Ovis aries: one gene and its partner. The protein of the gene in region 2 interacts with the protein of the main gene of each other region in a pairwise test. Links are inferred from orthologs where the notes say so. Each region holds a gene or a part of one and is shown on either strand. Other genes may lie near its edges.

Region 1 (3,649 bases), on a different chromosome or scaffold from region 2:
TTGAGCGGGAGCAGTACCAGCAGGCCGAGGACCTGATTCAGGGCCTGACCGCGGCCAGAGATCAGGTCTGCACTCCCCTGGGCTGTCTGACTTCTTTCTGCAGAAGGAAGGGCCGGGTATGTCCACTGCAGCATGGAGCTGGCTTGGGCCCTCACCAAGTTATCCTTTGCACTTGAAGGCACTTGGCCTCACTGAGCAGTTTGGTTTATATCAGCAGGACTTGCAATGATGAGTCCCTGCCCACAGCCTGTCTCTAATGGCCAGGCAGCTGCCTCTGGAGCTGGATGCATAGGTGGCCCCAGCATTTGCTGGGCTCCTCTGGCTCTGACGGCCACATATTTCCTAGGGTTTCTCACCCTCGTGTCTGCCCTCTGCTTCCCAGCAGGGTAGGGAGCTGGTCTGGACCTTGAAAGTGGCACCGCTCCCTTCTGATCCTCCCAAGATGAACTGAGTCTGCATTTTCCCCAGGTTGTTGCCAAGCTCCAGGAGACGGAGCGGCGGCTGTGTGACCGAGAGGTGGTGCTGAAGGCCGTGACCCGAGAGAGAGACCAGGCCCTGCAGGCTCTGCGGACACATGGGCTACTCCCTGAGGAGGAGGCGCAGGTGAGGGGCCGCCCTCCTCCTGAGTCTCCCTTGCAGCTCTTCCTCCCAGGCTCCTTGGAGATACCCGCTACCCCCACCAGAGGGGAAGCACGCCAACCAGAATCAGCACTGGAGGTAGATCTTTGCAGCCATGTTTCTTTTAAGATGACTGTTCACACCAGGTGAGACCAAAGCTCAACCAGCTAATGGGAATCTGCACTCAATCTTCTTTGTGTCTTTAGTATCTGAAATATCAAAAAACCTCAAATTCAGATATTGTACCATGGCAGACGGTAACACAGAGAACCAAAAGGTCAGAGCTTTATCCCAAAACACGCTTCTACACATGTGGTGACTGAACCATTCGATATGTAACGATGGCCGTTCCTCTCAAAAAGCACAGACTCCCGTGCTGCTGTGTGCCAGCCAGAGCCTGACACTGGCTATGGGACGACCCCAAGGTGAATGGTGGCCCCGAAAGGCGTATTCTAGTCCTGGTGCCTCAGGGTGCAACCTTCCTTGGAAATAGGGTCTTTATGGATGTGATTAGTTAAGATGGATGATTAATTAAGATCACATGAGAGCATCCCAGCAGGCATACTAGGCTTGATGCCCTAGGGGTCAAGCTCCCGAAGGTGTGTCTGTTAACAAACCTCTGGGAAGATTCACACTCAGCCAGTGGTCAGGCTTGGGAGCACTGGTGTTCCCAGGAGGAAAGGGGGGGCCAACCCTAGTCTCCAGGGTCACCTATGGTCCTGGGGACTCATCGCTGGTGGTTTTTGCATGGGTACCTTCTCTAGGTAGAAAACAAATGCTTCTTTTTTGTTGTTTTTATTAATAAGCCTCCCTACCCAAATTTTTCTTTTTTGTATTTTACCGCCAGGCTGACAATTAAAAGAAGACATTTGTCTCCAAGCACCAGCTCCGCTGGTCAGGGAGGCCTGTCAGTACCTAGTTGCCTTGTTAAGTGAACAGGAACCTTAGAAATGGCTGAGGGGTCAGAAACAAGTGCCGCATGCAGAGTCGGGGGGATGTGCACCTCTGTTCTGTACAGGGGGCCCTGGAGGCAACATGAGGGGGCGTGGCAGAGCAGCACCTCGGGCACCAGTGAAGGTGAGCTGGCCTGGTGGTCTTAACACAGAGATGTGGCCTCCTTACCAAGCAGGGACCTGGGGTGGTGGAGGATGCTGTGCAAGTTTCTGTTGACCCAGAGGAGTGAAGTCTGGAATCCTCTAGATAATAGCAAAACACCTGCGTCCCCCCTTCAGGGCCTTAATACTGTGACCAGGTTAAGGGTGTGGCCGGGTAAGGCGGCGGATGTCGGCTGGCAGGCGGCGGTTGGTGCTGAGTTCTGTAGAGGTGGGCCCTTGGCAGACACTAAGTAGGAGCAGCAGGGGCGTCTGTCGTGCACTGAAGCCGAGACAGAGGCTGCTCAGGGAGGAAGACATGGCGCTTCCTGGGAAGCGCTGAGCCCACCACTGATTGCACTGCACAGACAGGCAGCCTCTTGGCTGTGGCCACAGCTTCCTCTTTGCTTGGCACTAGTTTCGATGATGGCGCATCGGCAGGGCCGGAGTGATCACCCCACAGAGACCAAGGCACCACCGCCAGGCAGGCTGCTAGGGTAAATGCAGCCACAGCCACAGGGACAGAAGATTCACCTTGGGAATGGGCTGCACTGCAACTTTGAGGTGGATCCTGTTGTTCAGGACAAGGAAGCTGAGGCCCTAAGAGGGGTAGTCCCTTCCCCACAGGTGGCAGAGGGGGAATGTGAGCAGTGCTGGCCAGTTGGCACAGCCCTGACCACTCTACTGTCTGCCTGAGCAGGTGCAGCCTAAGGCTTTGCCTCAGAGAAGGTGGCGAACAGCCCAGTGGGCACAAAGAGGGAGGTTGGATGTTTGCAGGAGGAGTAGTAAGGCAATAGCAACCCACTCCGGTACTCTTGCCTGGCAAATCCCATGGACGGAAGAGCCTGGAAGGCTGCAGTCCTTGGGGTCGCTAGGAGTCAGACACGACTGAGTGACTTCACTTTCACTTTTCAGTTTGATGCATTGGAGAAGGAAATGGCAACCCACTCCAGTGTTCTTGCCTGGAGAATCCCAGGGACGGGGGAGCCTGGTGGGCTGCCATCTATGGGGTCACACAGAGTCGGACACGACTGAAGCTACTTAGCAGCAGTGGGGCCAGAGCAGTGGCTGGAAGGAGGCAGGCAGGTGCATAGCGGAGCCAGAGGTGGCTTGAAAAGCTGGGGACTAGCGGTAACAGAAGAAATAGCTTCACTTTGGAAACAAAAGTAATATATACCACTGCAGAAATTTTACATTAGTTCACCCTAGTGCTCTCTGGAATAAAGCTGACCCAATGTTCACCCCAGCTCAACTCCATGGCCGGACCTCTCGGCGTGGTATCTTAGTGGGAAGTCTTCTAGGTTTCATTGGTTCTTATGAGAAGTTGGCAGTTTCTTTTATTTGTCCTTCCGCAGGAATGTAATGTGCCCTTTTTCCTCTGGTGGTTTTTAAGAGATTTCCTTCATCCCTGTTTTTAAACAGTTTGACCATGATGTGCTCTTTGGTGTGACTTTCTTTGTGTTTATCTTACTTTGGGTTTGTTGAACTTCTTGGATCTGTGGACTCAGGTTTTCATCAAATTTGAAATTTTTTTGCCAACGCGTTCTGCATCCTTCTGCACCCCCTCATTGATCTGGGTTCGTGTATGTCTGCTTCCCATTGTTCTGCAGTCGTTAGGCTCTGCTGTTACTTGTTCTTTTGTCTTCCACTCTGTTCTTGAGCTTGAAGGCTTTCTACTGCTCTGTGTTTATGTTCACTTAGCCTTTCCTCCTGTAGTATCTTATCTGCTCTTAATCCCATCCTATCCAGTGAATTTTTCCTTCAGACAATGTATTTTTCATCTCTGTAGATGCTATTTTGTTCTTTTTGATATCTTCCATTTCTGTTTTTTCATATTTTTCTTTAAATCCTGGCATATATTTATGCAAACTGCTTTTAAAGTCCTCGACTATCACTCAGCATGATGTTTTCATGTTCCATCCATGTTGTAGTGTGTGTCA
Region 2 (3,749 bases):
GGCTATGGTAAGCTGAGTTAACTCCATTTTATAGACGACAAAGTTGAGAGAAACTAGCGTTTAAAAATCAAGGTGAGATATCAAGCCAAACTGTGAGGAAGGTAAAGCTTGTCTGCTGCACTTTCTTTCTTGCCTTTCCAGTGCTTTGTCTGCCCACCCCAGTGTCTCCATCAGGTCTACTGCTATGTGCTGCACGCTAAGTCACTTCAGTCGTGTCAGACTCTTCGACCCTATGGACTGTAGCCTGCCAGGCTCCTCTGTCCATGGGATTTTCCTGGCGAGGATACTGGAATGGGTTCCATTCCCTTCTTCAAGGGATCTTCCTGACTCAGGGATCAAATCCACGTCTCTTACATCTCTTGCACTGGCAGGCAGGGGGTTCTTTACCACTACTACAGTGGCAGCTGATCCAGATTTCCTTTTGGTTCCTTTAAGTACTGTGGTCTCAGAATAGCGTTAAACTTAGCTTCCTTTTTTCTTTTTTAGTGAGACACTGTCCCTTAGAAACTAGCTTATTAGATAAACTGATCTCTCCTAAGGTAATATTTCTAATACAAATTTGCAATTTTACAGGGTACTCTGGAAGTATACTTGCAACCACAGAAATGACTGACTTTTCCACTACAGCAAGCCAGAAGAGAACTTAATCTCCTGTTCTCTTTTGGATAGGTGTTCAAATAACAGCCCCACTGGCAGCTGTTATTATTATTACTAATTTATACAAACTGTCTTTTAGCTATGACATATGCTCTTATTTCGTTCTCATAATACCCCAGTGAGAAAAGAAAGACAGTTATTTTAGAGCTCTTTTATAGATAAGGAAACAAACTGAAAGAAGTTACATCTTAATATTAACTAGCAAATGAACAGATCCTAACCCAGGACTCCAAATTCTTCTCTTCATTCAAATCATTTTTCAACATCAGTCCACCTCCTTCATTGGGTATTGAAATTTGAAGCTTTATCATGAATGAATTTGGTTGTAGGTCACTCATTCTGGTTGAAGTTCAGGGTCTTTGAATCTGCTTTACTCTGGATAACCTCAAGCAGTTTATCTGTTGGTAAAATACTGCCCATAAAAGGTGTTACTACAGATTTTCTCATTACCATTTCTAGTGCAGATTAAAGAAATTAGAATTCCAAAATATCCAGTGATTTCTAATAGCCTTAGACCACAAGATCCCCTGGAGAAGGGAAAGGCTGTCCACTCCAGTATTCTGGCCTGGAGAATTCCATGGACTGTATAGTCCATGGGGGTTGCAAAGAGTTGGACATGACTGAGTGACTTTCACTAGACTACATGTTTTTAACCTAAGATGCTTTGAGCAAACAGTATTAAGAATTTGGGGGGACTTCTCTGCTGGTTAAGACTCTGCACTCCCAATGCAAGGGCCTTGGGTTCCATCCCTGGTCAGGGAAGTAGATTCTGCATGCCACAACTAAAGAATCCACACAAAGGTTGCATGGAGGCAACTGAGTCTCAGCACAGCCAAATAAATAAATATTAAAAATAACAAAAGAATCTTTACCTGGGGTTAAGAAGGTTTATACCTGCAGATTGCTGGTTAAAATTCAAAGTTCTCATCTTTTAAGGGAATAGAGCAGATGGCAGACTTGGCCCCCTACCTGGCAGACAGGTGTTCACAAAACACTCGACACTGAAAATCGATCTGTGAAAAAGCTGTTTCTCCTCACTCTGAAGAGCCGTGTGGCAACACTGGAGCCTCAGTAATTTGCTTCTCTGGAGGCTTAACTCTGTTTCTGATCTCCCCACTAAACTCCTGCTGGTTTTAACCATCATCTCTCATGTATTGTATTAAGACGCACTAATAACCAAGACATTGAAGTGACAACAAAACACACCTGACAACACAGCTGATTCACTTGCGTTTTTTGGATTATTCTCTGTAGGACAGCACAGTTTTCCTCGAGTTGAAAGGAAAAAGAAAAAAAAAGAAAAGAAAAGAAAATACCTACTCCCAACAGTTGCTGGAGCATAAGAATAAATTTCTGTACTTTTCATTAGAAATAGCGTAACGTAAATGCCCTCCAAGAAATTTTTACAACAACCTCTTTGGTTAAAAGACTTTTCAACGCCTCGGTTTCGAGCATTTTCCGTGAGGACCCAGAGGACTTGGTGGGCCAGGCTCACCTGTACGGGTCAGGACAGGGTTCGCATTTCCCAGCCCGCGCCTCACCACCGGGGGTCGCCGATCAGCCTCCAATTGCACCCGGCGCCCAGCCCCACCCCACTGCCCTCCCCTGCATTACCGGCGCCCGCGCCAGCCGTGCCGCCGCCTCTTTCTCTTCTTCTTCTTCCTCCTCTTCCTCCATGGCCGCCGCCGCCGCCGACAGGGAATTCAAAGGGTCTTTGCGTTCGTACTGGGCGACCCGCGCTCCGGTGTTGGGATTGACCGGGGTTTGGAGACTTCTGGCCGCCAACTTCGCCGCTCGGTGCGAAGCAGCCATCACCGCGCCGCCGAGGCCTGAGCGCCCGCGCTGGCCCGGGGCGGGGAAGCCGGCGTGGCCGCAGGCGCCCGATTGCTCTTTGCTTAGGGTGGTGGTTACTAGGGGCCCGGTAACTAGGGACGCTACAGGGGCCGCGAGGGGCCAAAAATCACTTAAAACCGGCGCCCGCCGCGGGGCCCCTTGGATAGTGGGAGTCAGTATTGAGTCTTTGCTGGTTTAGAGGATTGGTCGGGGGAATAGGGCACCTGGTCCCTCTTCTTCGCATTTCACCCCCTAAATGCAGACTTCTCACATTACACTAATGAAACGATTTGTGCTGTGGGGCTTTTTATTCATTGAAATAATATGTTTGGAGGAGGTGGCGGCGGCAGAAGAAAGCAGGGCGTGTTATCGTGTCGCGGTCTCGGGACAATGGTAACGTTTGCATCCCGCGACCTAACATGGCTCTCCAGCGAGCCGGAGAATGGGAAGCCGTGAGTTACTTTCTACCCTGACTTGAAAGCTAACGGAAGTCGACCAATCTGGAGGAAGGTGGAGCCTGGTCCACCCACCAGTGACTGAGAGTGCAGGTGTGTGTGACCCGAACGTTTGCTGCTTGGGTTCCTCCGCTTTATAGTGGTGGGGATCGGAAGGTGTAAACGCCCACCAGTAGCCACAAACAAGCCTCATCTCCACCTCACCCCCAACAACGTCTCCCACTTGGGATTTGGGCGCTTCAGATGACGCCTTGCCGCTACACCAAGCGCCTGTAAAAGAAGCCTAGCCTTAAAATATCAGGCGTGGTGGTGGTGCTGCTGCTGATGATGCTAAGTCGCTTCGTGGTGCAGTGTCAGCCAAACCCCTACTTCCTGAGGCTGAGGCCCCAGCCACCCCCCACTCCTGGCCCTACAACCTGCTGTCACCACCACAAAGTTAGGGTACGCAACGCGCAATATCCAGACCCCTTCTCTGAAGTCTGAACCAAGTATTTCTTCCATCAGGAATGTAAACACTTGCGAAACACCCTACTCCCTCACCTTTCTGCAGGCTGCTCTTTGTTTTGGCTGAGGATTTGCTTTGACCACTGGAACAGACACCGGCTGGATTCTTAGCCAAAGCTAGAGTTGGAAGCCCATGAGGTATGGACGCTGCAAATGACCACAGAAGGGACGTCCAGGCGTTTGCATGCAGCGAGTTCTGTGGCTGCACGTAACCCTCTTGTGATTTGACCCCGACCCCAAATCAGCATGCTGAAACACTGAAAATAGAACATTAGAAGAGAGTGGAAAAGAAGCAGTAAG

The links.
Region 1: the proteins of FAM161A (region 2) and CCDC57 interact in binary tests that used the Homo sapiens proteins (3 or more experiments, as listed by UniProt). The two-hybrid records come from large-scale screens. The link is inferred for Ovis aries from reciprocal best matches to the Homo sapiens genes FAM161A and CCDC57.

Annotation. Positions count from the first base shown.
Region 1 is NC_056064.1:50,203,010-50,206,658, forward strand, and holds part of CCDC57 (coiled-coil domain-containing protein 57), read left to right. Parts: coding exon 1-65; intron 66-468; coding exon 469-603; intron 604-3,649. UniProt on the Homo sapiens protein: Pleiotropic regulator of centriole duplication, mitosis, and ciliogenesis. Critical interface between centrosome and microtubule-mediated cellular processes. Centriole duplication protein required for recruitment of CEP63, CEP152, and PLK4 to the centrosome.
Region 2 is NC_056056.1:46,301,043-46,304,791, reverse strand, and holds the start of FAM161A (protein FAM161A), read right to left. Parts: upstream 2,555-3,749; 5' UTR 2,470-2,554; coding exon 2,272-2,469; exon of another isoform or gene 2,265-2,271; intron 1-2,264. UniProt on the Homo sapiens protein: Involved in ciliogenesis.